Elephas maximus indicus: one gene and its partners. The main gene of each other region encodes a partner of the protein of the gene in region 3 in a complex. Links are inferred from orthologs where the notes say so. Each region holds a gene or a part of one and is shown on either strand. Other genes may lie near its edges. The genes, in order: DAB2IP, ARHGEF6 and MAP3K5.

Region 1 (10,233 bases), on a different chromosome or scaffold from region 3:
ACCCTCCCTAGTCATGTCACCAACTTCCTAGGGGCCAGCAGCCCTGGGTTCCATAATCAGTTCTGTGAAGGTGACCTTGGGAAGGTCGCAGCCCCTCTGTGCCTCAGTGTCCCCATCTGAACCCCAGCGTTTAGATCACCCAGCTGCCACGTTCTGAGCCTTGGGAGGGGATCACCACCTCAGGAGACCGGCCCCAGCCTTCCTGGGCTCCCCTGTGAGGTCCCTCTTGCCTGCATTCCTCAGAGTGTATTGGGGGGTTCCCGGGAAGCTCCCCTGAGGCCCCATAGACAGATTGCAGCAGGGGGAAATAGAAGTATTCTTCTAGCTCTGGATAAAGTTGTGGCCCATTTGTTCAGCCAGCAAACATATCTTGAGTACCTACTATGTGCTGGGCTCTAGCCTGGCTACCAGGGCCACATAGGAATGCACACGGACCCCAAAAAAGGAAACAGGCCCAGATGGGAGGGAAGGGGGACCACACAGCAGCTAAGATATAGGGCCATGCAACCGGGGGACACCGGACATAGAAGAAAACCTAATGATCTTGGGAGGTAGCCAAGTCCCCAGTGCCCAGTTAGAGCCTGGCACGTGGCTAGACTCCTGGAAACACTCAGATGGATGAAAACTTAAAAGAATGAAAGCTGCCCCTGGGTGTGGGCTTGCTACCATTCCAAGAGGTTTCCAGACATCAGTGAGGCAGCAGGGCAGGTACAGTCCCATTTGACAGGTGGGGAAACTGAGGCTATGGCCAGCTGGACTCAAGCCCCTGTCTACCACTAATCACGGCTCCATCCCCCCGTGCCCCAGTGCACCCCAATCAGCTGGTCTCCCCATCTGACTGGGTTACCAGAGAGGGCTAGGACCACGTGCATCCCTATCTGGGCCCTGGCGGCCAGGCTGGAGCCCAGCCATAGTAGATGCTCATGATATCTTTGCTGGCGAGTAAATGGGCCATAGTTTTATTCAGGGCTAGAGGAATACTTATGTTTCCCCCAGAAGCCCTAGGGGGTGAGACAAGTCAGACAGACGAGTCCTTCCTTGATTACGATGGGGAAAGGTAAGAAGGCACCCTGGTTGGTAACACCCTCTGGGGATAGGACACCTCTCAAATCCAGGACCATGTGCAACCTTCGGGCACACTCCAAGGTCACAAGGCACCATATGGCACAGCCAGATGACCTTTGCCATCCAAAGGTCACTGTTAACACCCTGTCTCTGGCCATCATCAAGCTTCGTGCCCCCAGCAGCAGGTCTCACTCTGCCCATTCTCCAGATGGGAAAACCCAGGCCCAGAGAGAGGAAGTGCCTTGTTTAGTGCCCCAAGCTGGTCAAACCTGTGCAGCTGCAGATGCTGTCCCTCACTGGCAGCCCTGCCTGGGGCAAGGTCCTGCTCTCAAATCTCCAGTGAGCACCCTCCCCACCACTCGACAGTGACAGTCCAGTGGTGGGCAGGTATGGTAGGTAGCCTGCTCAGAGGCAGCATCCAGGCCACAACCCTGTACCCAGCCTGGCCAGCCGCAGGTCCCGCCACCTGCCTACTCTTCCCTGCATTTTCCTGTTTCTGAAAATTCCCCTCCCCAGAGTCTCAGTCATTTTTCCCTCCTGGCTAGTACAGAGACCAGAACAGGTGTGGAGCAAGGGCCTGACCTGGGCAGGGTGCTAGGTACCACTCCCTCCTCCGTGGTCTAAGGTCATACCCACAGAGCCAACCCGCCACACAGATGGGGAGACTGAGGCCTGAGGTGGGAAGGGACTGGCTTAAAGCCAGGCGCTGGCCTCCCCAGCAGGAGTTACCACCTGGGTGAGAGCACTGCCCTCAGGAGGAGTAGTGAGAAGGCAGCCCTGAGGTGGAGTCAGGACTCTGGAGGTGTAGTGGAGGGAGGTCAGTGCCTGCTCCAGCAGCCTCTCACCCAGGAGGACAGGGGGCCTCTAGCCTCCAACTCATGCCCTGCCTAAGTGCCCCTCCCAAGCAGCTCTCACCACCCCCCAGGACTCCCCTCACTCAGTCAGGCCCCAAGCTCTGTTCCCTGCTCTTCCCCCTCCCCAGCCCACCCTCTACCCCTCCCCCAGGAAGAGCTCTGTCCACAATGCCCAAGGCATTTTCCATCTTCCTGTCTTTGCAGGAGCTGTTCCTTCTGCCCAGAGAAATGACAATAGGTCACACGCCTGTGGCCCAAGCCCCGAACACAGGCTTCCAGCTTTCCATGCATTCCTACTCCCATTCTTAGAACTCTGCCGTCTTTATCCCATTTACCATTTACCAGCAGAGATCACTGAGGCTTGGTGAGGTAACCGGCCTAAAGATAGTTATGTGCAGAGCTGGAATTGAACCCAATTCTGACTCAACCACTCCCTGGGCCAAAGGAAATCCTATCTATTTTGTAAGATCCCATCCAAATGTCACCTCCTCTGTGAAGCTCTCCCTGATTTCTCAGTTGTAACTTCTGCTCATTGACAGTCTCCTCCTTACCCCCAGCAGGCTGTGAGCTCCTTCAAGGCGTGGGGCACAAAGCAGGGCTCCTATACCTGTGGGGCCTGGGAGCTGGGGCTCAGGGGAAGGCCAACACATGGATTGTCCCCTTCCCAGCCAGCAGAACTGGTTGAGAGGAGAGCTCTTGTTCCTCTCCGTGCCTTGGCAGCCAGGGAGGAAACTGGACTGAGGTGAAAAGTTAAGGGAAAGGTTACACAAGGCATTTCCAAGGTGAGGAGAGGGGCAGGTTGGGGTGGGTGTAGGAGAGGCCCCAGGGTGGCCTGAGCATTATTGGACATTTGTACAAATCCTGCTTGGCACAGTATGCACCTGTTTCTTCACCAAATCGTCCCAGTACTGCCACACTCATATTACAGTGGAGGAAACTGAGGCTCTGAAAGGGGAAGTGACTTGTCCAAAGTCACACTGGCTTGTGCTTGAATGCAGATCTCTGGTCTCCAGGGCCAAGACTGAGGGGGTGGGAGGTAGCCAGAGGCCACTTCAGGGAAGACAAGGACTGGGGAACCATGGGCCTCGAGAGAACCTCGAGGCTTGAACTCTGGTCCACACCTGTGCACACCCTTAGACTCAGCTTGAATCTCTCCATACAGAGAATTCACTACTTCCTGAGGAAGCCCTGTACGTCATTGCTCAGCCCCAACTATGGGAAAAGTCTTCCCCATTCTGCGGGGAAGCAAAACTAACATTTAGTGATGCTGAAGGGCAATGTTACAGGTCCAGGTCATACAACCAGCACTTGGAGAGGTTAGACCCTGATCTGCAGACTCCATGACAGCATTTGCTCAAACCCCGTCTGGGCAGGCACAGGGCCAGCCTTCCCAGCTTCCTCTGACAAGCAGGTGGTAAAAAAGCAACCCAGGTCCCTATGAGTGCTGCTGCCTCAGCTCCACCCCTGGCTCTGTTGGCACCTTCAGGAGGGCCTGAGCCTTTGCCCAGGACTCTGGCCTCTCCAGCGGACCTCTCTCCCTTCCTCCCACCCAGCCAGGAAAGGAAGTCCTGGCCCCCACCCAGCCCTGAAGGCAGCCCCCTGGATCACACTCATTTCCAGCTGAGGATCCAGTTACTGGAAAAAGAAAATGCTGCCTGCACCTCCCCCTCTCCCCTGCTTCCAGGGCTTGAAGAAGGGAAACTTCAAAGGAGGTAAGGCCCACCCACCCACTCAGCTTCTGGCTCCTTCAAAGCCAAGGATCCCTGGGATAGGATCCCTCACCTGTCCCTCCCAAGAGGGGAGTCAGTTAAGTCCTTGGAAAGGGAAGAAGTGCAGGATTGGCGAAGCTGGGAGGCCAGGGCAGTGGAGGTGAGGCAAGGGTAAGCCAGGGTCCATCCTGGATCACTTAATGCCCTCCTGCCGGGTAAACTGAGGCACAGTGGGGCAGGAGGTCTGATCTGAGAGGTCAAAGGAGGAGAACCCTGGCTTCCAATCTCCCATCTCCTTGCCTATGGCACAGGGAAAACACTAAAGACACAAGAGGGTGCACATGAGGGAGAAGCTGGAGGTAATGGGGGTCCCGCAGACGGACTAGTGGGCACCAGGAGAGGCGGATGAAGGGCTCCCCCGTAAGTGGCTAGCAGGAGGATCTTGGGTCCCTGGCATCCCGGGGCATCAGGTGATGAAGCGGTGGTGGAAAGGGTCTGGGGGTCAGGAGTGGGGGTCGCGCCTACCCCTGGCAGGACGGGTCCGGCTGCGGGAGCGGCTCCTCTGTCGCTGCAGCCGGGGCCGCCTCAGCAGCCGATAGTAGTAGGAGGGCCTCCCGGTGCTCTTCCTGGCGCTGCCGCCCGCGGACATGCTGCCGCCCGCCGGGCACCGGGCCGGGGCTGGGCGCGCTCACACGGGCCCCATCGCCCGCTCCGGACCGCCCGGCGGGCGTCCCTGCCTTCTCCCGCGCTCGTTGGTGCGGCCGCCGTCGCCGAGGCCAAGGCTGCCCCACAAAGTCGCTCAAACTCCTCCTCCTCCCCAAAGCAGCCGGCCCCGCGGCGGGGGCTGGGGACCAGGAGGCCGGACTGGCACCGGCCCGGAAAGTCAGTGCTGGGGAAATCCCGGCCTGGACTCTAAGGGGCGAGGCGGGCCGGAGAACCCCCGGAACCCCAGGCCTCCACGTAGGGAAGCAGGAGGGCCTCCCCCGTCTCCCAGCGCCTGAGGACTCAAAGCCCGATCCCAGGGCGCACGGGGCGCCCCATCCCAGCGGCGGGTGTAGATGGTGCGCTCCCGCGTGTGCGCGATCCGGGACACAGGGCAGGACACATGCAAGGCCTCCAGGCAGCTACGCTACGCGGAAACCGAGGTCCAGGGAAACAGTCAAGGTCAATTAGAGTCCGAATGAAGGGGACTACCCAGTTTTGCCCCAAGTTCACCAGGCTGAGAATCGAACCCATCGGGTCTAGCCCCAGCTGGGTTGAAACACTCTGCTTTCAGGCAGAATACATGCCTATTCTTTACGTTTTAAGGATTGTCCCATTTGATACACATTATTTTTTATATAATCAAAATTGTGGTGTATATTTCAAGCACACAAAAAGTGGAGAGTACATAACCAACACCCGTGCAACCAGCAGACTTTGCCAAATCTGAACATTTTGCCCCCTTTGATTTAGACACCCTACCCCCCCGACCCCCCCCCCCACATCCATAAATAAAAACCACAGATACTGCAAAGTCTGCATCCCTCTGGACATTTACACCTACTCTGGCAGGCCTGGGGCAGTGAGGGAGGGGGACAGGGAGAACAATTCTTACCCTGCTGTAGAGAGGGGAAACTGAGGCTGGGAAAAGGGAGCGTTCCAACTCTCTCAATTGCAACGGGCTGAAAAACTTTCACCAAGTCACTCACTTCCCAGCTCAAGAACCTTCCATGGCTGCCCAAAGCCCAGTGCCAACAAGCCCATGCATTCTTCCCTTGTCTTTGGGGCTTCAACACTCAGGCCCCAGCCAAACTGCCCTCCAGCCTCACTTCCACGGTTCCCCTGCTCCTTCTCACTTCTCTTTGCTTTACTCCCAGCCCCAACTGCCTCCCATGTACGTTTCTTTGATTAGCCAAAGTCCATCCTTTACAGCACACTTCCTCTAGCCTTCCCTGACCATCCAGGCCCTCAAGGATCTCTCTCTTTCTCCTCTTATTCCCTACTCTCCCCTACCCCTGCTTCGGAATTTATTCTTTAAACCATCAGGCAATCATCTGCCTGAGTTCTATTTCCTCAAGCACAGAAGGGAAACCGAGGCCCTGACAGGGAAGTCCGACTTGCCCCAGTCAACAGAAAAACAGTGGTGTGGCAGAGGCAAGTGCTCTTAGCATGGGATCCCCTATATGCCGTCTTAGGTGTGTGTGCGGGGAGGGTCATGTGTGGGTGCCTGAGGCAGTCTGGGGGTCCACCTTCTGAACTGCTGAAAAGTTGGGGCCCTGGAGATAGCAGGCAGTCTGGGCAAGAATCCAGGCCGGGTTTTGCACCTCACAGGGGGAGCCCCCTCCCTCCCTCCCTCAACCAGGGGGGAGGGCCCCCAGGTCAGCAGAAGCCTGGATCACAGCTGGAAGCCAGGCGCCTTCCCAGGACCAAGGGGGAGGGGTAGCAGGGGTATTGCTCCTCCAGACCTAGTCTGGGGAGTCCAAAGCTATCCCAACAAAAAGGGCAAAGACAGCCAGACTACTGGCCAGTCCCAGGAGAAGATGGAAGACCACATAGCCATCTAGGACACCATTAGCCCGCTTTGGATTAAGCACTGCTCTACGTTATTTTCAACATTAGACATTGCCCAGGAGCCTCTTTCAAAGGGCAATGCCCCTGGGAAGAGCTCGCACCCAGTCCCTCAGCACCTCAGTCCCTCAGTCGTGGGCCCATGGTAGCATGCATTCTCTTCTGGCAGGGCCACCAGAACCCACCCACTCATGCCTTGGCACATCCAGTAATAAATAACCTCCCTAGCTGGACCCACCAGTTTGGGGGAGTGGAGGGCTCCCAATGTGCGGACAACAACCCTGCTTCCAGGGTTCATCTGGCCCAGTTTTCCTCCCAAAGCAGGAATCCCCTGATCAGCCAGGTTTTAGCCTCCTGTTGAGGAGATGGGAGGCTCACTGCCAACACACTCTGGTCAGTAGCAGGAGCAAGTGATCTCGGCCTGGGGCTCCCAGCACATAGTCTTAGGTATGTGGAGGGAAGAGGGAAGTAGCCAGGAACTCTGGACCTCAGTCTATAAACACGGTCTCCCAGCTTATGCTTGGGCTCCTCAGGTCCCTCTCTGTGCCTCAGTTTCCTTTCCCGCGAGGAGAAATTACGTGTCCCCAATCGATCTACCTGTGGAGGGAGGAAGGTCAGATAATGAATAGGAAGCCGCCTGGCCTTGGAGTGGGAACAGGCAATGTCAATCATCCCAAGCAAGAGCCAATCACCTCCACAGGCCTCCTGTCAGGCACTGGGGCTGGGGTTGGGGTACAAAGTAGAAAGGCAAGATAGGAGTGAGGAGAAGTCCTGGGCTCCCTGCCCCTCCCCCTGGCCCAGGACCTCTGGGGGCAGACAGGCAGACAAAGGCTGCTCCCTGCAAGCCCCAGCAGAGCATCTGGGATCAATCCTGCTGCAGAGGCACAACTCACCCACCCCCTCCAACAGTCCCCCACTCACTGCCCCTGTGGCTTTCTCCCTCCAAACAGAGTAGCAACCCCCACTTCCAGAGACCGCCTGGACTGAGGAAGGTGTCTCAGAAAATATCCCTCCCTCCCCATCTCATTGCTTCCTGTGACACACTCCGCTTAAGGAGAAGCCCTCTGTGACTGCCCTAGACAGAATTAGCATCCCTGCCCTGCTGATCTGTGAGCCTCAGACCCTCCAGGGTTAACAGTCTGGCCAGTAGTCCTGCCCCACCCCCACCCGCCCACCTCTGTCTTGCCTCCAGAAGGGCTCCAGAAGAGGCCTGGCTTCCACCTTCATGTGCTGCTTTGGGTGAGGTCAAGGCCTCCATGGTTTCTACACCGCTGAGCCTCCCAATCACCCCTGGCTCTTTAAGCATACATATTTCTGGGTTTCTCCCCTGATGCTTGATTCAGTGGGTCTGGATGGGGCCAGGAAATCTGCATGCTTCCTAAGTGCCGGGCAGGGAACTGGCTAAATCAGACCTGACCCAACCCTACTGCCACTAACTCCTACTTTCATCCTTTTCCGGAAAAGGAGGATGCCCAGAGCACCAAAAAGAACGAAGCTCCATCACAAAAGAGCTGCCTCCCTTCGCACCCCTTCCCACTCCAGCAACCCTGATGTATCTGCCTCAGACCTTCCAGAGGCACTGCATGCGTTCCTTCTCCTTCCCAGTTCTGGCCTTAGCCATGAAGCTCTTCCTTCAGCACCCACCTAGCAAACTCCTCCTTATCCCTCAGGACCCAGCTCAAATATCACCTCCTTAAAGATTAAGTCTACCCCGAGTCCCAATGACAGACCCTCCTCCGTACTCCTGCCATACCTTGAATAATAGGGATACTAAGAGGCCACAGGGAAGCCCAGGAAGAATGGATCCAAAGAATTGCCCTCCAGGCAGAGAACAATCAGCATCCAGGTATCCTAAAGGTTGAGAGTAGTGGGCAGCATGGGAGCTGGGCTGACAGTCCAGGTAAACCATGGGCCAGGCCAGGGCTCCAGGTTAGGAGAGGCATCCAAATGCAGGGAAGGAGGGCTGCCAGGCCAGCCCAGTGCAGCCATCTTACTAGGAGGTGTTAGGTTTAAAGTCAGTGCAGAAAGAGAAAAAGAAGCATATCATCAGAATTACCCATGAAAAACCTTAGATGGCCCACAGAGGACAGTTTTTCCTCCAGTGTTAAGACCAAAAACACCAAACCAAACCCACTGCCATCAAGTCGATTCCGACTCATAGCGACCCTACAGGACACAGTAGAACTGCCCCATAGAGTTTCCAAGGAGCGCCTGGCAGATTCGAACTGCCGACCTCTTGGGTAGCAGCCATAGCACTTAACCACTACACCACCAGTGTTTCCAGTGTTAAGACAGATTATCCATTTATTCACCTGAGCACAAAGCAAAAAGGCCTGGTTTGCACTGAAGAAAACATTTTGTATGGGAGGAAAACAACAACGGGTTGGTTATCTTTAAATGCTAGACCCTACCCAGGGAGGATGGGGCAGTGGTGGTTCAGTGGTAGAATTCTCACCTTCAATGTGGGAGACCCAGGTTTGATTCCTGACCATGGCACCTCATGTGCAGCCACCGCATGTAGAGGCTTTTGTGCTACTATGATGCTGAACAAGTTTCAGGGAAGCTTCCAGACTCAGACTAGGAAGAAAGGCCTGGCCATCTACTATCAAAAATCAACCAATGAAAACCCTATGGATCACAACGGTCCAATCTGCAACTCATCATGGAGATGCTGCAGGACCAGGCAGCGTTTCATTCCATTATGCCTCGTGTTGGAGAACCAACTCGACGGCTGCTAACAATGACAATCCAGGGAAGAACAATGCTCATGCTGGAGGGAACCATAGAAACCAAGACCTCCCCAACAGAGGAGGGCTACAAGTTTGACCTCAAAAGGTTCATTCGAGGGTGAAGTTTGGTAATAATAATGGTAGCTGAGATGTACTGAGCATTTACTGTGAGCCAAATGCTATCCTCAGCATTCTTCACACTTTATTGCACTCAATTTCTCAATGACCCTATGAGGCAGACAGTTACCCACCCTATTTTACAGAAAATATAAGAGAAAGGGTAAGTAAGGCCAGAGGGCTTACCTCAAGAAGGAGCCAGGATTTGAACCCAGAAGGGATGGCAAAAGCAAAGGTCATAAGGTTGACCAGGACTTCATGAAACACAAACTGGAGGGTGGGGGGAGGGGCTGTGTAATAGCCTGGAACTTTCTTTAAAAGCAAGCTTTGACAAGGGACAGGAGGAGGCCTAGATTGAGGGGCGGAAGTCCCCCCCAACAGGGGAAGCATCAGAGCCCTCACCAGGCCCCACACAATGGGTGTCTGGAAGGCTCAGACCTGTCAGGTTTCCTGTCGGGACAGTGCAGGAGGTGGTGACCAGGGGCAGCCCCCAGCTAGACAGCCCTGAACACAATCACCTCCCAGGCCAGTCTCAATTCTTGAGTCAGTTGCTGGACCCCTGCACAGGGGTGTGGGTAGGATGGAGAGGTGAGGGGGCACTCGTGGTTAAGGTCATGGCCTCTGCCTTGGGAGGTGGCTCGTCTGGCCGGCAGTGACAGCTTCCTGTGTCCACCGTTCGTCCGGGAACAAGGCTGGACCAGGAGCTGGATTTTCATCGGGGAGCTGGGGGAGGTTGGAGCCAGGGCGCACTCTGTGAAGCAGGAGACACAGACAAGTCCTGCGGGGTCTCACTCACCACTGGAGGCCCTGCCAGGCATCCTTTGCCTTGACCCTCCCCTCCCTCCCCCCGACCCCGAACTCCCACCCTTTGCAGAAAGTGGTCTGGTCAGGGCTGAGAACATGTGGGGTTAGATGGCTCTGTCCCTCCCAACATAGACAGAACTGGGGACCCATCAAGGGTAGACATTTGAATACACAGAGGCCACGAGCCCAAGGCCTCCGGGGTACAAGTGCTTTTTAAATCAAGTCATCCAAAGCTGGGCCCGAGGGACAAGCCCGATGAAGAGGTCAGGGCTCTAAGGTTGAAGGCCAGCTGGGGAGGGGAGGGAGGATGTCATACTATGTGACCCAAAGAAAGCCCCTTGACATCTCTGGGCCTCAGGTTTCTGAAACATGCTAAGCAGCTATGAGACAGTTCTGCCTGGCCCA
Region 2 (10,335 bases), on a different chromosome or scaffold from region 3:
AATTATGAATTTCCAACATTAAAAATCTAGGATTTTATTTTTTTAAGAGAGTCAGGTTAGTTTCGCTTTGAGGCCACGTTGCATTTGAAATATATATTTGGTTTCTATCATTTTTACAAACCTTCTCTGATATTTTGAACTGTTTCTCCTAGTTGCAAAATAGTCTGTCCTTCAGTGGATATTTTATCTTATTGTAAAGGAAATCTATGTTAATCTTAGTCAAACTGTCAACAAACACCATCAATATTGATTATAAATCATCCCATTATTCCACAGACTCATATGTCCCCAAATTCAAAACATGTCTTCGGTACACAGGAAGGTGTAGCGTGCAGTTCTGTGACAGAGCAAGCTTGTGATATGGGTGTCTTCTTGTCCCCTGTTGCCAGCGGTGGAAAGATTTTTACTATACCAACATTTGGGGTCCAATTACTACAGGACAAGATTTTGTTTTCTGATTTTTTCTGACTACACACACAGTAAGAAAGAATATCTAACCCTTAGAAAGATATTAAAGTAAAAGATCCCACAACCTGGGCGATAGAAAATTCCAAGAGTTGCACTATTGCTGCTCTCTGGTGGTAAGCAATCCCAAAGATAGGCAAGTCTACCTTACCTTTTCCACAGAGCCAGGAACAAGTCTGTTGATAAGTTTACACAGCACTACCCCATTTTTCAGCGAGGACTTCAAGAACTCCTCCGGATCACAGATGGTCTTTTTGGGAGAATCTAAAACTCCCAGAGAGATAAGCCATGTCACGATTCTCTCTTCTGGATTCATTGCTGAGGACTGTAAGCTCCACACAGCTCTCCGGGGCAGCTGCAAGGACTAAGCCACATCCGCGATTGCATCTGCTGTTGTCTTCCTTTTTATGAGTTCTCTTCTGGTGCGTGCAAAGCAAAGGTTTAAAACAACTTTCCTTAGACCGACAGGGGAACCCACTCAAAATATGGGATTTTCAAACCACGGAGATCACACTCAAAGATGAGGAAAGAGAATGAATGTGGCAATCCTGGACAGCACTGGTTTCCTTTTTCAAAACCTACAAAACACATTGGCTAGGATTAAAAAAAGAAGAACACACGGTCACACCCCCAAAGAGGGGGAAAAAAAAAAAAAAACCAGTGCATGAAGCTGTAAGGGAAGGAAGTGAGGAAGATGCTGGGGAGGGAGCAGAGAGTAGGAAACAAGTGCTCTTGGAAAACAGAGGTGAGCCAGCCCTTCAGGGGACCTTGGAAAGGAGACACCCATGGGCCAGTCTGGGAAAATGCTGTCAATAAATAGTCTAGTCCCAGTGAAAATCTGGCTTCTGTCAGGAGGAGAATGCCAACTGGCTCTTAGGTCAGACAGGTCTGAACCTCGTGGGGAGCTGTGCTGGCACAACAGGGCTTGAAGAAGGTAAGGCTAAGAAAATTCTTCCTCCAAGAAAAGGCTGGATGTCATCATACTATCTAACAGAGATGGTGTGTCATGATCATTTCTTGCAAAACACGTTGAATTGTACAGTGACAACGTGCCAAGTGAATGAAGATTGTGCCTGCTGTCAGCCATCTCTGTGTATAAGCAGAAGCTTAGAAGAATGGCATTTTACTTTGCAGCCAAAAAGCTATGTTTAGGGAAATGGGCTAAGGATAACATCTGACATCCTGTTTACTTGCATTCTTTAGCAATTCTTTTTCTGGACCTGGTTCCACCACGCAATCCAGCTGTAGTACCCTTAGCAAAGGCTCAGACACAGTCTCATGAGAGAGTAAAATACACTTGAAAACAGAACATCTGAGAACAAAAGAGCACTTGTTCACACTGTCTACACTACGGTCAGGGAGGCTGATGTTTTCCCAACAAGAAACACTTCGCATTAAAAATGCTCTCTGAGACTATGTTGGCATCTCCAGTCTGGAGGGGAGATGAGAGAGCAGAGGCGGTCAGAAGCTGGCCGAATGGACACGAAAATAGAGAGTGGAGGGAAGGAGTGTGCTGTCTCATTAGGGGGCGAGTAATTAGGAGTATATAGCAAGGTATATATAACGTTTTGCACGAGAGACTGACTTGATTTGTAAACTTTCACTTAAGGCACAATAAAAATTAAAAAAAAAAAACCCTATGGAACAGTTCTGCTCTGTAACACGTGAAGTTTCCATGACTTGGAATCAACTTGATGGCAACAGGTATATAAAACATTTTAACATTCTTAAAAAAAAAAAAACACCCTTCAAAACCACCAGGGGATGGCATCTAAACACACTTTAAGCTATAAAATGGCAAGTAACATCCCTTACAGTATGTCTTTAAGGTTATTTGTCATAACTATTATTAGGAAATAAAGGAAAGTTACTTGATTAAAAACAAAATTCTCTGGGGAAAAAAAAAGTTAGTCTGTAAGAAAAGATCTTCATTATCCTCAAATATTTTCAGAACCAGCTGAAATAGTCACACTATTGGGAAATTTATCATAAGATCAACCTTTAATAAAAAAAGCGGTTAATCGCTCAGGCTGCTAACCAAAAAGGTCAGCAGTTCAAATCCACCAGCCACTCCTCCGAAACTCTATGGGGCAGTTCTACTCTGTCCTGTAGGGTAGGTATGAGTCAGAATCAACTCAATGGCAATAGGTATGTGGGTAAATGCACCACTACCCCTTTACTTCATGCATGGGCAGACACTGCCAGCCAATCTAGCTCTTTCCTGCTAAGCTTCACAATCCTTCTCAACAGAGGTTCAGGCACCTACTACCAAATAATTAGCTTAAATCACTCTGCTAAATACTTTCAAGGCTGTCTCTTCTTGTTCTGTCACGACACTTACGCCACTTTATTTATGTTATTGCTTATTGATCTATCTCCCCCACCAGAACACAAGCTCCCTCGAGTAGGGATCTCATCTGTCTTGTTTACTGCTGTGTTCCCAGCACAGTGTCTGGTACACAGTAGATGTTCAAAACTGCTGACTGATGAATGTACTTGTATGGTGTCCCTGTATAGACGCTACATGACTATAATGATTGTTTGTTTTTAATGGCTTAAACCAGACATTTTTCCATGCTGATTGAGATGTTTCAACAAACGGATGCAGCACTGGAGATGCTCACTCATCTATGCCAAGAAATTTGGAGGACAGCTACCTGGCCAACAGACTGGAAGAGATCCATATTTATGCCTATTCCAAAGAAAGGTAATCCAACCGAATGTGGAAATTATCAAACAACATCATTAATATCACACGCAAGCAAAATTTTGCTGAAGATCATTCAAAAATGGCTGCAGCAGTATATCGACAGGGAACCACCAGAAATTCAAGCTGGATTTAGAAGAGGACGTGGAACCAGGGATATCATTGCTGATGTCAGATGGATCCTGGCCGAAAGCAAAGAATAAAGAAAGATGTTTACCAGTGTTTTATTGACTATGCAAAGGCATTCGACTGTGTGGATCATAACAAATTATGGATAACATTGAGAAGAATGGGAATTCCAGAGCACTTAACTGTGCTCAAGAGGAACCTTTACATAGATCAAGAGGCAGTTGTTCGGACAGAACAAGGGGATACTGATTGGTTTAAAGTCAGGAAAGGTGTGTGTCAGGGTTGAGTCCTCTCACCATACCTATTCAATCTGTGTACTGAGCAAATAATCTGAGAAGCCCTCATTGTGGACACTATATAGATTACAATAAATTAGAAAGGTAAGGCCACCTCCTCAAGGCAGAAGAAAGAGCTCTATAGTATAAAGATTGGAGATTAGAATGGTATGGTAAAATCTCAAGAAAGCAAGTAATTCTGAGGAGTCCCTGGGTTGCACAAACAGTTAAGCACCGGACTACCAGCCAAAAGTTGGCGCTTTGAATCCACCCAGAAGTATCTAGGAAGACAGGCATGGCAATCTGCTTCTGGAAGGTCACAGCCTTGAAAGCCCTATGGAGTAGTTCTCCTCCGCACACATGGGGTTGCCATGAGTCAAAATCCACACAACAGCAACTAACAGCAACAGCAATAGCAAGTATATAAGGGAAATGACTAACCATGGAGTCCAGGCTAGGTAAGGAAGCAAGTGAAGATGGAAAGGAGCTGGTGAACTGGGAGAATGGGGAGAGGGTGAAAGACTGGAGGTCACAATGTCTACTAAGAACAATTTTCAGACAGAGTGTGAGTAAAAGGAGCAAAGGTCTCTCACCTTACTTCAGATCCTTAGTACATACACCCTGGGCCACTGAATCTGCTTTCTCACCGGCTTCTTCACCTCCATTCTCTCTCCCTAACGAAGTCTCTGGAAGAGCGCAGTTAGATGTTCCAGAAACACTTCTTCAATAGTGCAGTGCGTGTTACCCCTGCTCAAATACCCTCGAAGGCTCTCCATTGCCTAAGGCAGTGGTATTCAAAAAAGAATGTTCATCAGAATTTCAAATTCTCATGGAATCTAGACTTTCTGGAGCCATTGAGGTGTGCGAACCCCCCAAACTATTTCCCTGAGATAACCTTTAAACCTCAAACCAAAAATATCCTCTGAAGTCTTCTTTAAACCAAACAAGTTTTAACTTAACTAGTAAAAAATGTCTGCCTTGAGCATTGTGCTCTTTTAAAGCACCAATTACGTGGGATCAAATTGACAACAGCAACTCAAAAGAGTTGATTAAAAAACTTGGGGGCAGTGAGTTTATCTTAATGGGGAAGGAACAATTTAGAAAACAAGGGTAAGAGGGGTTCCATAACTTGAAGAATGTAATCAATGTCACTGAACTGTACATGTAGAAATTGGTGTATGTTCTGCTGTGTATATTAACAACAAAGAATAAAATAAATTTTTAAAAAAGAGTGTTCATAATGATCACTTCTAATGAGGGAGGGAGAAGAACGGAATGAGAAGATGGAACCTGAGACAAAATCTACCACCACTACTTACTTTGGAGTCCATTCTAACTCGTGGTGACCCAATGCGTTTCAGGGTAGAACTCCACTCCATAGAGTTTTCAAAGCCGTGATCTTTCAGAAGTAGATCACCAGGCCTTTCTTACAAAGCACCTCTGGGTGGGTTTGAACCAACAACTTTTCAGTTAGTAGCCCAGTGCTTAACCATTTGCTCTACCCAGAGACTCCTTGAGCCAAAATAGATACCAGTTTACTACAAGGGGGAAAAAAAGGAGTTCTGCAGGAAATAAGCCAAATGCTAACATTTGTTAAAGTTGTATGCTGGGTACAGTGGTGTCTGTTGTACTATTTTCTTTTACATGTTTGAAATAGTCATAATTAATTATTTTTATTTTAAATCTATTAGAGCACTTGTTAAAAAGAAGATTTCTGAGCCCTATTCTCAGACGTTCTAATTCAGACGGTCTGCCATGGGAAACGGGAATCCATATTATTAAAGCACTCCACTTGACCTTCGACTCCACCTTAACTTCTGTCAACACCTGGGTTAATTCAATATCCGCAAGAAAACGATTCAATGTCATAACCATTAGTTCCTCGACCTCCTGTAGTAGTAATTGATTCGACTCCCCCTTTTTGCCTGCACTGTGAAAACGAGCCTGGGGCCCTTCAATATTTTTTACTTTTACTTTACTTTGATGTGAAGTTTTATCAGTAGACAGCGGTGGAGAGAGAGTGCAAGAAGAAGGGGCTTTACTTCCTGTTTCCTGTATGCTCATTCCACAGGCTTCTGCAGAACTCCCAGCTTTCTTAGGGCCTGCCTTTTGCAACATTGGCCTCCCCAATGCACAGTAAGCAGGAGCTTCCCCTGGCACCAGCCTTGGGTGGTTTTGTAGTAGAGTGCCTCTAGTGAGACACCTCCCCTGTTAACAGGAAGCCAGCACCCTAGAGCGCACATTTTCAGCAAGTTCCAGAGATCAGATGTCTACTAAGTTCCACCAGCTCCGCACCACAGCAACTTCTCTAAAAAGGTCTGGATCTCAGCCCTAGGAGTGTGCGTAGTGGGCAGGGATGGATCAAGGCATGTAAGGACCCTAAACACTGATAACCTGTGGTGCCCCTTCCTCTGCTTACTCACACATTCAAACAGGATACATGAGTTCGATACATATATGTATGTGTGTGTGTGTCTTAGCTAACCATGATGTAACTTCTTTTTAAATGTGACCATAATATTAGCAATTGAATGCAAAAGTGGCTTGTGCCATTTTAGTGGAATGACTGGATTATAAAATTTTTAGTGGGTGCAGGGTACTCAGATTTTTACTATATACCACATTTTCCACAAAAAGAACATTCCACATATTCTACAACAAAGAAAATGAGTCAGTGAACTTAGTGGTCTCAACAATCAAGGTAAAATTCTGTTGATCTCCCACAACAAAACAATAACTTTAACCGATTTTGCTTTAAACCTCTCATACTTCAATTTCGATGTTTGTTTCATAAGAAATGTTATAAATGAAAAGAAGTCATAAAAGAAAACTGGACTTTCTAAAAAATTAAACACATATGCTCATCAAAAGGAAATGCTGGTGACGTAGTGGCTAAGTGCTACGGCTGCTAACCCAGAGGTCGGTAGTTCGAATCCGCCAGGCACTCCTTCGAAAATCTATCGGGCAGTTCTACTCTGTCCTATAGGGTCGCTATGAGTTGGAATCAACTTGATGGCGGTGGGTTTGGTTTTTCATTTGATCATCAAAAGACTTCACCAAAAGTGTAAAAAGAGAACCTAGAGACAGAAAAAAAAAAAATTTGGCTGTGACAAATTCAACAAAGGTCTAATCTCTAAAATTTACAGGAAAATCCAACACCTCTACAACAAAAAGACAAATAACCCAATTGAAAAATGGGCAAAGGATATGAACAGACACTCCACCAAAGAAGACATTCAGGCAGCTAGCAGATACATGAGGAAATGCTCACAACCATTAGCCATTAGAGAAATGCAAATCAAAACTACAATGAGATACCGTCTCATCCTGCAATTACTGGCATGAATCAAAAAAACAGAAAATAACAAATGTCGGAGAGGCTATGGGGAGATTGGAACTCTTATGCACTGCTGGTGGGAATGCAAAACGGTACAACCATTTTGGAAAATGATATGGTGCTTCCTTAAAAAGCTAGAAATAGAAATACCACATGACCCAGCAATCCCACTCCTAGGAATATATCCTAGAGAAATAAGAGCCATCACACGACTAGACATATGCACACCCATGTTCACTACAGCATTATCCACAATAGCATAAAGATAGAAACAACCTAAGTGCCAATCAACAGATGATTGGATAAACAAACTGTAGTACATACACACGATGGAATACGATGCAACAACAAAGAACAATGATGAATCTGTGAAACATCTCACAACATGGTTGAATCTGGAGGGTATTATGCTGAGTGAAATAAGTCAATCATAAAAGGTCAAATATTGTATGAGACCACTATTATAAAAACTCATGAAAAAGTTTCCACACAGAAAGAAACCTTTGAATGGTTACAAGGTGGGGGTGGGGGACCTTAACTAGGTAGATAACTGGTAACTTTTGTGAAGGGTAAGACAGTACACGATGCTGGGGAAGTCTGTGCAATGTAACCAAGCCAAAGTCACAGAAGCTTCACAGACATATCCAAACTCCCTAAGGGACTTAGTTACTGGGCTGAGGGCTGGTGACCACAGTCTCAGGGGACATCTAGCTCAATTGGCATGACATAGTCTATAAAGAAAACATCCTACATTCTACTTTGCTCAGTAGCGTCTGGGATCCTAAAAGCCTGCGAGAGGCCATCTAAGATACATCTAGTGGTCACATCCCGGCTGGAGCAAGGAGAATGAAGAAAATCAAAGACACAAGGGAAAGATTAGACCAAAGGACTAATGGGCCACAAATACCACATACTCCACCAGACTGAGCCAAGAACAATTAGATGGTGCCTGGCTACCACCACCAACTTCGCTAATAGGGATCAAAATAGAGGGTCCCAGACAGAGCTGGAGAAAAATGTAGAACAAAATTTGAATTCACACACACACAAAAAAAAACCAGACTTACTGGTCTGACAGAAACTGGAGAAACCCCAAGAGTATGGCCCCAGACACCCTTTTAACTCAGTACTGAAGTCACTCCTGAGGCTTGCCCTTCAGCCAAAGATTAGACAGGCCTATGGGGCAAACAATAACACATGTGAGAACCGTGCTTCATAGTTCAATCATGTATACAAGACTAAATGGGCACACCAGCCCAAAAGCAAGGATGAGAGGGCAGGAAGGGACAGGAAAACTGGACGAATAGAAACAAGGAACCTGGGTGGTGAAAGTGAGAGTGTTAGATACGTCATGGGATTGGCAACCAACGTCACAAAACAATTTGTGTATTGATTTTTTAATAAGAAACTGATTTGCTCTCTAAACTTTCACCTAAAGCACAATTAAAAAAAGAAAACTTAAGGATCAGAAAACAAATATTACAACAAATTACTGTATTTTATTTTTAGATAGATTAAAAATTTTTTTTTTAATATGTTATAACCGAAAACATTTCTTTCTATTCTTTGTTCTTACAAATTCTTCAGTGATTTCATCATAATCAAGCTGCCAGACAATACCTACTTCCATACATAGTAAGGATAATGAGTCAAGTCTTTCCCGAATCATTGTTGTGTGCTCACTTTTCCTTGTGTTCTGTCTGCTCTGCGTCTATGGGTTTTTGCTTTGGATAACTGGTGCTCCTGTTTTGTTGATGCCCTAAGCACATGCTTACCTTGTATACTGGGTAATCTGTCCCTGGTAGTGGTGGTGGTGGGGGGGGGCTCCTGGTAGTGGGGGGGGGCCTCTATCTTAGCTCTAGAGGTGGTGGTTATTATGTATTATTTTTATATTATGTCTACTATTATATGTCATATCTTCTATTCTCTTATTTTTTAGGGTTCTCTTTACTTCTTATTAGCCAATCCCTCATTACTCCAATCTCCTGTTATAGTTAATAATTCTTTTATGTTAAACTTTCCCTGTTAAAATTACTGTGTGGTTTCTCCCTCCTGGTTGGACCCAGACTGATATACCTCATAATTTTCAATGAACTCTTTCTCTCCACTTCAGCCACCCACTTACAAGGTCACACCTTGGACTTGGTCAGGACACAAAATTCTCTGCCTCCTAAATCACGAATTCAATCGATTATTCCACTCTCTAACCATCATTTACCACCTTTCCAGCTTACTAGTACAACTATTCCTTGACCTCATATGGACTGCTAAAACCATTACCAAAATTATACAAATTTACACTCTCACAAGCAGGGTGTGAAATTTACATTTCTATGATTATTAATAAGGTTGAACACCTGTTCATTTGTTTATTGGCCATATATATTTCCTCTTCTGTGAAATACTTGTTCATAATTAGTGCCCATTTTTCTACTGAACTCTTTGTCTTTTGTTGTTGATTTATAAAAGTTTGGTATACATTATGGACACTAAACCTTTCTTAGTTATATGTGTTTGTAAATATCTTCCACCTTTGTTTTTTCATCCTTCAGTGTGTTTTAATGAAGAAAAGTTGTTGTTTTTTTAATTAAATAATTTATCTTATTCTTATGTAAAATAAATCCAAAAATTGGCTGCGCGAGGCTAGCATGGTAGCTTCATGGTCATCAGATACCCAGCATTCTACTCTCCTGCTACTTTGTGGTTTTTAGCATGACATCTCAGTTCAAAATGACTGCTTACATCACCTGGAATAAGGCAATGGTTTCTCAGACATAACACCAAAAGCACAAACAACAAAAGAAAAAAAAAAAAAACAAATTGGTCTTCATTAAAATTAAAAAACTCTTGCATTTCAAGGGACACCTTCAAGAAAATGAGAAAACCCACAGAACAGGATAAAATATTTTCAAATGATATACCTAGAAGGGACATGTATCTAGGATACATAAGAACTTTTACAACCCAATGATAAAAACAAAAACCCCAAATAACTCAATTTTAAAGGGCAAAGATCTCAATAGACATTTCTCCAAAGAAAAAATATATATAAATGGCCAATGCATACTTGAAAAGATATGCAACATCATTAATCATCATGGAAATGCAAATCAAAACCACAATGAGATACCATCTCACACCCACCAGGATGGCTAAAATGAAAAAAGACAGGTAAAAACAAGGGTTGGTGAGAATTTGGTGAAACTGAAACCCTCAGACGTTGCTGGTGGGAATGCAAAATAGTGCTGCCACTGTAAAAATCAGTCTGGCAAGTCTTCAAAGTGTTCAACATAGAGTTACCATATGGCCCAGCAACTCCACTCCAAGAGAAATGAAAACATATGTCCACACAAAAACTTTTACACAAATGTTCATAGCAGCATTATTCATAATAGCCAAAACATTTCTACAACCCAGATATC
Region 3 (10,715 bases):
CTCTTCCATCTCCCTCTCTGTTTCTCACCCAATCTCTTTCATTGCAATTTATTTGTCCAAGAAACTAGACTGTTTTTCTCATAGAGTTTCCCACAGTCTAGATTCTGCCCATTGCATCTCCAGAGTATGTTAACCTCTTCTTCTGTCCTGTATTTCCTGGAATTGGTAGTTGAACCCACACCTTTTGGTACAACTACTTCATAGGTGGTTATGTATCCTTCCATCAGGAGGTAGGTGATAACTAATTATCTCTCCTTTACTGATGTTGGTGACTATTAATGATGATGCCTGGATCCAAATTCATTATGAGTTGCAAAATAGTGATATTCTAACTACTCAGACCTTCTATCTTTATTAGCTGGAATATTTCTAGAAAGTTCTCTTATCTACTATTTGCTTACCCAGTAGTATTTCTGTTCTTTACACATTTCAGTTCAGCATAAGAAATGATATCTCACAACAGACTACTTTAACATAGTACATTAGAGCGTCAGAGGACTTGCAATTTCACCTAATTCAACACTTTATTTTATGGATGAGGAAACAGGCCCAGAGAGGTTCAGTTAGTTTTTTCATTTCTAAAAGGATAATTTTAGATAAAAGGATAATTCAAGATGGGTTTATTTACAAAAAGACTAATTACAAAGGTGTGGGAAGAGCATAGAGGAGCTTCAAGGGATGGTGCAGCAACTGGGGGCTAGCAGCTGAAGAGCTGTCACCATTTCTAGGTCCCAAAAGACAAGGTGAGGGACTGTAGGGTCTACCACCTTGAGAAGAAAAATGACCTGTTGGAAACCCATCAAGGGAGAAAGAAATGCCCTGTCCCCAAACTTAAATCTCTTGCCTGGGCCCCCTAATTACCAAACCCAACTGGTAGACAGAAGATAAAGGAGCCCACTGACTTAATCCATGCCGATTACCTCTTGAGGCAGAAAGTACAATGGCTGTGAGTAGAGAGTAGATCTGGAGATGAAAGCCCAGGCAGAGGTAGCAAAGTCAGGACTTGAATTCATCGTCTGGCTCCTATCCCACCATACTAATATGCATTCAAATGTTTCATTATATGCACAGCTCTTACATTTGTAGAAGTAATTTGTGGCCCAGGGTGATTTTACCTTCCTCTAATGAATTTTGTTTGCTGAATTCATGGGATTATCTTGATCCAATTTCAAGGTTTGAGGTTTTTTTTTTTTTTCTCCTCAGATGCCTGGAAGCATGGTTGCTGTCCATGTAATTTGACTTCTTGTTCACCCCTTTCCTAGGTTTAACACTCTTATGTTGGTTCTTGTTGTTGTTGTTAGGTGCCGTCGTTAGCGACCCTATGTACAACAGAACAAAACACTGCCCGGTCCTGCGCCATCGTTATAATCGTTGTTATGTTTGAGCTCAGCCACTGTTGCAGCCACCGTGTCAATCCACCTCGTTGAGGGTCTTCCTCTTTTCCGCTGACCCTGTACTTTGCCTAGCATGATGTCCTTCTCCAGAAACTGATCCCTCCTGACAACACGTCCAAAGTATGTAAGATGCAGTCTCACCATCCTTGCTTCTAAGGAGCATTCTGATTGTACTTCTTCTAAGACAGATTTGTTTGTTCTTTGGGCAGTCCATGGTATATTCAATATTCTTTGCCAACACCACAATTCAAAGAGGTCAATTCTTCTTTGGCCTTCCTTATTCCTTGTCCAGCTTTCACATGCATATGATGCGATTGAAAATACCATGGCTTGGGTCAGGTGCACCTTAGTCTTCAAGGTGACATCTTTGCTCTTCAACACTTTAAAGAGGTCCTTTGCAGCAGATTTACCCAATGCAATGCATCTTTTGATTTCTTGACTGCTGCTTCCCTCGGTGTTGATTGTGGATCCAAGTAAAATGAAATCCTTGAGAACTTCAATCTTTTCTGTGTTTATCATGATGTCGTTCATTGGTCCAGTTGTGAGGATTTTTGTTTTCTTTATGTTGAGGTGTATTCCATACTGAAGGCTGTGGTCTTTGATCTTTATTAGTACTTCAAGTCCTTTTCACTTTCAGCAAGCAAGGTTGTGTCATCGGCATAACACAGGTTGTTCATGAGTCTTCCCCCAATCCTGATGTCCCGTTCTTCTTCATATAGTCCAGATTCTTGGATTATTTGCTCAGCATACACATTGAATAGGTATGGTGAAAGGATACAACCCTGATGCACATCTTTCCTGACTTTAAACCAATCGGTATCCCCTTGTTCTGTCCGAACAACTGCCTCTTGATCTATGTAAAGGTTCCTCATGAGCACAATTCAGTGTTCTGGAATTGACACTCTTCACAATGTTATCCATAATTTGTTATGATCCATACAGTTGAATGCCTTTGCATAGTTAATAAAACACAGGTAAACATCCTACTGGTATTCTCTACTTTCAGCCAGGATCCATCTGACATCAGCAATGATCTTCCTGGGTCCACGTCCTCTTCTGAAACCGGCCTGAACTTCTGGCAGTTCTCTGTCAATATACTGCTGCAGCCATTTTTGAATGATCTTCAGCAAAATTTTGCTTGTGTGTGACATTAATAATATCGTTCTATAATTTCCACATTTGGTTGGATCACCTTTCTTGGGAATAGGCATAAATATGGCTCTCTTCCAGTCAGTTGGCCAGGAAGCTATCGTCCATATTTCTTGGCATAGATGAGTGAGCACCTCCAGCGCTGCATCTGTTTGTTGAAACATCTCAATTGATATTCCATCAATTCCTGGAGCCTTGTTTTTCACCAATGCCTTCAGAGCAGCTTAGACTTCTTCCTTCAGTACAATCAGTTCCTGATCATATGCTACCTCTTGAAATGGTTGAACACTGACTAATTCTTTTTGGTATAATGACTAAGACAGACTAGAAAGAAGGACCTGGCAGTCTACTTCTGAAAAGCATTAGCCAGTGAAAACCTTATGAATAGCAGTGGAACATTGTCTGATATAGTGCTGGAAAATGAGCCTCCCCAGGTTGGAAGGCACTCAAAAGATGACTGGGGAATAGCTGCCTCCTCAAAGTAGAGTCGACCTTAATGACGTGGATGGAGTCAAGCTTTCAGGACCTTTATTTGCTGATGTGGCACGACTCAAAATGAGAAGAAACAGCTGCAAACATCCATTAACAATCAGAACCTGGAATGTATGAAGTATGAATCTAGGAAAAGTGGAAATCATCAAAAATTAAACGGAACGCATAAAGATTGATAACCTAGGCATTAGTGAGCTGAAATGGACTGGTATTGGCCATTTTGAATCAGACAATCACATAGTCTACTATGCTGGGAATGACAACTTGAAGAGGAATGGTGTTGCATTCATTATTAAAAAGAACATTTCAAGATCTATCCTGAAGTATAACACTGTCAGTGATAGGATAATATCCGTACACCTACAAGGAAGATCAGTTAATACGACTATTATTCAAATTTACACACCAACCACTGGGCCCAAAGATGAAGAAATAGAAGATTTTTATCAGCTTCTGCAGTCTGAAATTGATCAAACATGCAATCAAGATGCATTGATAATTACTGGTGGTTGGAATGAGAAAGTTGGAAACGAAGGGTCAGTAGTTAGAAAACATGGCCTTGGTGATAGAAACAATGCTGGAGATCGAATGATAGAATTTTGCAAGACCAACGACTTCTTCATTGCAAATACCTTCTTTCACCAACATAAACGGCGACTATACACATGGACCTCGCCAGATGAAACACACAGAAATCAAATTGACTACATCTGTGGAAAGAGACAATGGAAAAGCTCAATATCATCAGTCAGAACAAGGCCAGGGGCCAACTGTGGAACAGAACACCAATTGCTCATATGCAAGTTCAAGCTGAGGCTGAAGAAAATCAGAGCAAGTTCACGAGAGCCAAAATATGACCTTGAGTATATCTCACTTGAATTTAGAGACCATCTGAACAATAGATTTGATGCATTGAACACTAGTGACCAAAGACCAGACGAGTTGTGGAATGACATCAAGGACATCATACATGAAGAAAGCAAGAGGTCATTGAAAACACAGGAAAGACAGAAAAGACCAAGATGGATGTCAGAGGAGACTTTGAAACTTGCTCTTGAGCGTCGAGCAGCTAAAGCAAAAGGAAGAATTGATGAAGTAAAAGAACTGAACAGAAGATTTCAAAGGGTGGCTTGAGAAGACAAAGTAAAGTAGTATAATGACATGTGCAAAGAGCTGGAGATGGAAAACCAAAAGGGAAGAACATGCTCGGCGTTTCTCAAGCTGAAAGAATTGAAGAAAAAATTCAAGCCTCGAGTTGCAATAGTGAAGGAGTCTATGGGGGAAATATTAAATGACGCATGAAGCATGCCAAGAGGATGGAAGGAATACGGAGTCATTATACCAAAACAAAAACAAAAACTGTTCTTCTAGATGTTGTAAAAAATGCACTTTAGCCTCTCAGCAGCCTAATCCAGATCCACAAAAATACCCAAGCCAAAAGCAGCCTCGAAGGAAGGCTCACTCTCTGGATTCCTGTTGTGACCCTAATACTCCCCAGCATGTTTTCTCCTTTTCAAAATGGCCGACTGAGAGCTTGACAGATCTAAAGCCTTAAGAACCTCTAGGTTTTTCTTCTTCCTCTGCCTGTCTCCTCCTTCGCATACCTTTGCTAATGACTTTGTTTTGACCTAATGCTAACGACTTTGTTCTTTGTTTTAATCTGATGCAGATAAGTTTGTTTTGTTCTGTCCACCTGTGATTTACAATTCCCTACAGGAAAATCAGAGCCCAGGTGTCTGACGTGTTTATCTTTAGCCTGATAAAGAGATGTCTGGCATGTATCTCTTGAGTCTGATAGTCTCTTGTCACTATCTTGTAATGAATAACTCCTCCAGCCAGGCCATCTTCGGGCTACAAAGACACTTCTAACCCTTGTAAAGTTCTATATTAAGCTCTAATGTAAAATTACTCTTTGGGACTCCATAGAGACAACCTGTGTTGCTGCTGGGCCCCCACGATGTATACATCTCTTGAATAAACTTTCTCACTCTTTTTGACTTTCATTGTCTTGACTGCTCCAGGGCACGGACCCTAATCAGGCAACGCTGTCCTCTTTTCCAGAATCTGGCCAGGTATTTCCTCATTAATACCATTATCTCTTTGGTGCCTTTATGCATGTATTTACAATTTTTTTCAGCTTTCTTACTGTTCTTTAGTCAGAGGGTTGATCAGAATGATCTAATCTGTCATAATCAGTAGCAGAAATCTCTTTCATATTTCTTCAGTCTTATATGATGAAAATGTGTTGCTCTACCCGTAGGTGTTCTCAAAGGTGTCCCAAAGTTCATCTCCAAATATAAGTGGGATGGACTCTGAGTGAGAACATAATTATGGCCAGAAAATTCCAGTTCTGCTGATATTATAATTCTATCATTTATCGAGTGTGATTGAATCCTTGTCAAAAGCTTCTAGAAATGCCTATTTGTAGTAGGGCCTAAGGGATACATTGCCTCTCTGTTTCCTTGGATTCCTTTTTTCCCCCCAAACAGAATGCCAAATTACATGTTTTCATTGAGAAATACAATCTCTCAGAATCTACGAGCTGCTCCTTGGAAACCCTATGGGGCAGTTGTACCCTGCCATATAGGGTCACTATTGGTCAGAACTGACTGGATGCCAAAGCATGGGTTTTTAAAATGAGAACGCTAAATTGTTCAGCAGTTGGAGCTAACCAACTGATAATAACAAGCACAAGCTTTGGAACTTTTAAAATGAAGAGTACCAGGGACAGATCCTGATACTTTTAGTTTGCCACTCCTAGAGCGCCACTGTCACAAATAAACCACCCTCCAGTTTAGGCTCTTGGTTCCAGGGCGTTAGTTGAGATCTTCAGGCCTTATGCAACGCGGGGATCCCGGGGCCATTGGGCCCTTGCCCTGACCACGCGGCACGCGGCCCTGGTAAACGCTGAGGAGCGCGCCCGGCAGGGGCCGGCAGGGGGCGCGGTGGCTGCGGGGAACGCTGCCATTACCTCCCGGACTGGCTCGGAAGACCCAAGAATTCGCCAGAGAGACTTTTTTGCTCCATCCTGCAGTTGCTTGGGCTCCGGGTTTTGTCTACTCCAGCTCTTCTCAGGTAGAGGCCCAGTTGGTGACGGCAGAAAAGCTTGGCTGCGCGTCGCGCCGGGAAAGGGCTGAGGTCCGGGAGCGCGGCACGGTCGGTTCCGTCCCGGCTGGAATCTCCCAGCAGCGCCCTTCCCCCGGGCCGCCTTGCCTCTCCGTACCGCGACTAGTGGGCGGCAAGAAGGAAGTGGGTGGCCGAGAAGGCGTGCGGCTGCAAGGAAAGAAGCGATTCCAGTGGCGAGGCTGTGCTGGATACAGCGGCCGCAGCGATCCGAAGAGAAACGAGGACGTGGGGAGGAGGAGGAATTAGGGCCGATGAAGAGGAGCTACCACCGAGGAGAGAGGCGGATTCTTCCGGCTGCAGCTGCCGTGGTTCCCGGACGCAGCCCCGGGGGCCTGCCTGCCCGTAAGGCGCTAGCCAGGTAGCTGTGCTCCCCGAGGGCCCCCGCCCTCGCTCCTCCCCGCGCTTGGGACGGAAAGAGTGGGGCCGCGCTGCAGGCGTCTGGGCGCACTGAGCCCGAGCGCGGCGCCCGAGAGCCGCACGGCGGCTCAGGTCGGCGAGCCAAGAAGAGGAAGCGTTGTCCCTTCGCGCCCTGCTCAGCGTCCCCACCCCTTGCACTCTCAACCTTGCAGCCGGCGAACAACGCGGCCACGGAGGCGCCGAGGAGGAGCGAGCCGCCGCCGGGCAGCGGCGTGCCCCCGGGGGAGAGGGCGCCCGAGAGGAAGCGGCGGCGCGGCGGGGAAGGCGCGGCTCGCGATGGCAGCTGCTTAGCCGGGCGGGCGCGGAGCAGCCCCGAGCTGTGGCTGGCCAGACGGGGTGGCGGGGCGGGGGACGCCGCCGCCGCCTCGCCGGGAGCGATGAGCACGGAGGCGGGCGAGGGCATCACTTTCTCCGTCCCCTCTTTCGGCCCTTTGGGCTTCTGCACCTTCGCCGAGGGCGGCAGCTGCCGGAGGGGAGGAGCGGCGGCGACTGTGGAGGGTGAGGAGAACCAGCAGCCACCGCCGCCACCCGGTAGTTTCTGGAACGTTGAGAGCGCCGCCGGCCCTGGTACCGGCTGTCCCGCTGCCAGCTCCGGGGGCAGTGCCACTCGGAGCCGGGGCAACTCTGGCAGCGGGGGCGGCCGACGGACCACCGTGGCGTATGTGATCAATGAAGCGAGCCAGGGGCAGCTGGTGGTGGCCGAGAGTGAAGCCCTGCAGAGCCTGCGGGAGGCGTGCGAGGCTGTGGGCGCCGCGCTGGAGACCCTGCATTTTGGTAAACTGGACTTTGGGGAGACCACGGTGCTGGACCGCTTTTACAATGCAGGTGCGTGTGTAACCCCTTCCCATTCTTTGCGGCCCGTGGCCACGTGTTCCCTTGTCGCCCTTTGGATTTTCCCCCCTAGGCAGGAGGCGCGCTTGGTACTCATTCACTTCTTGCCTCACCTTGGGGGTGACGAGGGGCGCCGCGTGACCCTCCTCTTGGCGCTCGCAGCTGCTGGAAGAGAGTATATGTGATTGTGCAAGAGACTGTGTGCGTTTGTGCGAGAGACTGACTGACCCAGCCAGCGCCGGGCGCTGAGCTCTGCGGTCCGCGTCGTCCAGGAGAACTTCAGTTCTTCAAAAGTATTGGAAAATTGCCCCAGTCAGCTTTTCTCCATTCAGGGTCTCGGTTTCACTTGTTTGATTGGACCCATGTTTTCCTTCTACGTATACCTATGACCTCTTTAGATGACGCCTACTCGTTTTCTCTCTGTACTTTTGGGAGTACAGAAATGATGAGTTATGCCACGCGGCCGGCTGCATGCAGAGTGTATTTATACAGATTTGCCTGTCATGTCATGACCTTCCCAACTCATTTTACCTTCAACGAGTTTTAGTCCTTTGAATTTCCCATCCCTTACCAAATTGAACTGTCAAGTAATTACTTCCAAAAGTGATAACCTTGTAACTTAAACTAAACTGGTGTGATATCTTTGTTAGGATTATCGGTGGAAGAACCAGGGTCTGTTTTTTATTGCCCCATATACGTTTTTTTACGCTGGAAGGTTTATAATTTAACATTGTTGAGAATGCTGATAGGCTATCTTGATAACTAAGATTAGATTGTCCATTAAAGTGATTGCTAGCATAATCCATGAAAAAAATGTATTTCTTCAACCTGTTCCAGATTTCAGAAAATGTTATGCAATTCTGGTGACTGAAGCAATCAATTATCTGTTAGCTACAAAGAGTTTGGAGGTTTTTTTTGGTTAGGAAATGTTAGGCATAATAACATGTTATTGAAATTAATCTTTAGCACCCTTTACAATCACTGTTGAGAATATATAAATATTTTTATAATTGTAGGTGGAAAACATGATTTAATTCTGGTTTTGAAAGAGCAAGTTTCTTGCATTTTTGCTTGCATGAATGTTTTTATTTTCCAATCTTATTTTCAGTTCTGATTCTATTCAGTCTCTTCAAAACACCTGAAGAAGGCTTATGCCAACTATGGAATTCAGCCAATGCTGAATATTTTAAGAACAAGAAGAACTTTACGTAAGGAAGCCAGACTAAATAAACGAGGACTTTCTGGATCTGGTCTTTTTACGGTCTTGGTCTTCCCAACTGAACATGAGTGTAATATATTATAGCTTGTATTTTTGGGTGGCTTGCTATAAAAGTTACATAAACATAACTTTTCTAAAAATTATAGCACTCTTATTTTTGGATTATAACTTGGAAGATATGAAGAAAGCGTCAAAGAACTGAAAGATGTGGGAGAAAAGCTCCCAGCTATGTACTTGAGCCTATTTTTATTGCACTGATAGCTTTTTTTTTTTTTTTAAGGCCCTTACAATAAATCTTAAACCCAATGGTGATTTGAAAGAAAGTTTCCTAACAAGGCTCACTTAGTGTTTATTCTCCAAATACTGCCCCTGGGAAAGGGAGAGAGGAAGATTAGGAGGGACCTGATATTTGAACTGTATTTTATTTAATCCTCCAAATAAGCCTGTGAAGGAAGTACTTGTTATGCTTCTTAGGTGGGAAAACTGAGGGATACATAAGCAGCCCTAGGTCACATAAGAGCCCTGGTGGTGCAGTGATTAAGCACTCGGCCACTAACCAAAGGGTCAGCATTTTGAACCCATCAGCTGCGGCAGAAAGATGTAGCAATCTGTTTCTGTAAAGATTACAGCCTTGAAAACCCTATAGGGCAGTTCTACTCTGTTCCGTAGGGCTGCTGTGAGTCAGAGCCGACCCTGTGCCCATGGGGTTTAGGTCACGTAGGTAGTACGTGGTCAGAGCAGGTTCCATTGCAGGTGGAAGACCCTGAAAGATCACGGGTGGGTCATGTTCCCTCCATCAGATGGGCTCAACTTAGAATTAAGGGAAACTACAAAATTGACTTGATGGCAGCGGGTTTGGTTTTTTTGGTTTACCCACATGGAATCGTGTGACGGAGAGCTGGCAGGACCTTTAGAGCCACTGAGGTGCAATGTGGAATAAGGGGGAGGGCACTCTCTGGGGGAGACCCATGTTCCCAGGTCTCCTCTGTCCCACTGCTTTGTTTAACCTGGGCAGGCCCCATTTCAACCCCTGCCTACCTGGGTGATATAAACTCTGTACCCTTCTGCTCAGCATGAAGATGTGACAGTATAACGTTAGCAGTTTCATCCAAACCCTTTGTTTTTCTAAACCGAGGGCTGGAGAGTTTGATAGCAGTAAAACTTGCCTTCTGTCTTCTAAGAGAAGCCTTGTTCGTCTCTACCAGGGGTGTGCAAACTTTATCTGTCAAAAACCAGACAGTAAATATTTTAGATTTTGCTCTCCATAAGGTGTCCCTCCCAACTACTCAACTCTTCCAAAGTAAGAGTAGCCATGAGTAGTACGCAAACAAATGATCATGGCTATGTGCCAATAAAATTTTACTTACGGACATTGAAATATAAATTTCATATAATTCTCGTGTGTGACAAAATATGACTCTTCTTTTGATTTTTTCCCCCAACCATTTAAAAATGTAAAAGCCATGCTTAGTTTGCAGGCCATGGAAAATTAGGTGGCCTACTGGATTTGGCCCGTGGGCCATGTTGACCTTTTCTCTGCAACTACTACCTCCCACTTGAAAGACAAATCATTATGATATAGTGGGAAATCACATCTCTTCAAGTAAGTCCTGGTTCTGTCATCAGCCACCCAGTTTTGAACAAGGCCCTTCATCGTCTACAAATGGAGGTTCTTTGCCTATAAAATCGACCAGGGTGAAGGTAGATGGGGAATTGAACTGATTTATAAGATTCCCTTGTATATTCCCGTGAATTTACAAAGTAAAGGCAGCATGGTGTGCTGGGACAGAGTGTCGGAGTAGGAGTTTCAAGGTCTGAATTTTGGCCCTGGTCCTTCTCTAATTTGGAGCAAGTCATTTAAAATCTTAGAAAATAGTGGAGGTTTGGGTTAATTGGTATCTGAGGTTCCATCTAGTTCTCAAATACTGTACTTTAAAATCACAACGTTGTTAATATAAATGAATCATTTCACTCCATAGATACTGGTGAACTGCTTGTATATGTCATGTTTCCTGCCCTGGAAGAGCTCACAGTCAGTGGGGAGGGTAGATTCAGTGCAGAATATAGTAGTGTCATTGTGAGGGTCC

The links.
Region 1: MAP3K5 (region 3) and DAB2IP share a complex: the UniProt entries of both Homo sapiens proteins name them as parts of the cytoplasmic complex. The link is inferred for Elephas maximus indicus from reciprocal best matches to the Homo sapiens genes MAP3K5 and DAB2IP.
Region 2: MAP3K5 (region 3) and ARHGEF6 share a complex: the UniProt entries of both Homo sapiens proteins name them as parts of the cytoplasmic complex. The link is inferred for Elephas maximus indicus from reciprocal best matches to the Homo sapiens genes MAP3K5 and ARHGEF6.

What each region holds. Positions count from the first base shown.
Region 1 is NC_064827.1:71,756,951-71,767,183, reverse strand, and holds the start of DAB2IP (disabled homolog 2-interacting protein), read right to left. Parts: upstream 4,956-10,233; 5' UTR 4,278-4,955; coding exon 4,154-4,277; intron 1-4,153. UniProt on the Homo sapiens protein: Functions as a scaffold protein implicated in the regulation of a large spectrum of both general and specialized signaling pathways.
Region 2 is NC_064846.1:19,037,452-19,047,786, reverse strand, and holds the start of ARHGEF6 (rho guanine nucleotide exchange factor 6), read right to left. Parts: upstream 4,257-10,335; 5' UTR 4,170-4,256; intron 1,045-4,169; exon of another isoform or gene 1,044-1,044; 5' UTR 782-1,043; coding exon 617-781; intron 1-616. UniProt on the Homo sapiens protein: Acts as a RAC1 guanine nucleotide exchange factor (GEF).
Region 3 is NC_064819.1:206,447,360-206,458,074, reverse strand, and holds the start of MAP3K5 (mitogen-activated protein kinase kinase kinase 5), read left to right. Parts: upstream 1-6,523; 5' UTR 6,524-6,955; coding exon 6,956-7,403; intron 7,404-10,715. UniProt on the Homo sapiens protein: Serine/threonine kinase which acts as an essential component of the MAP kinase signal transduction pathway. Plays an important role in the cascades of cellular responses evoked by changes in the environment.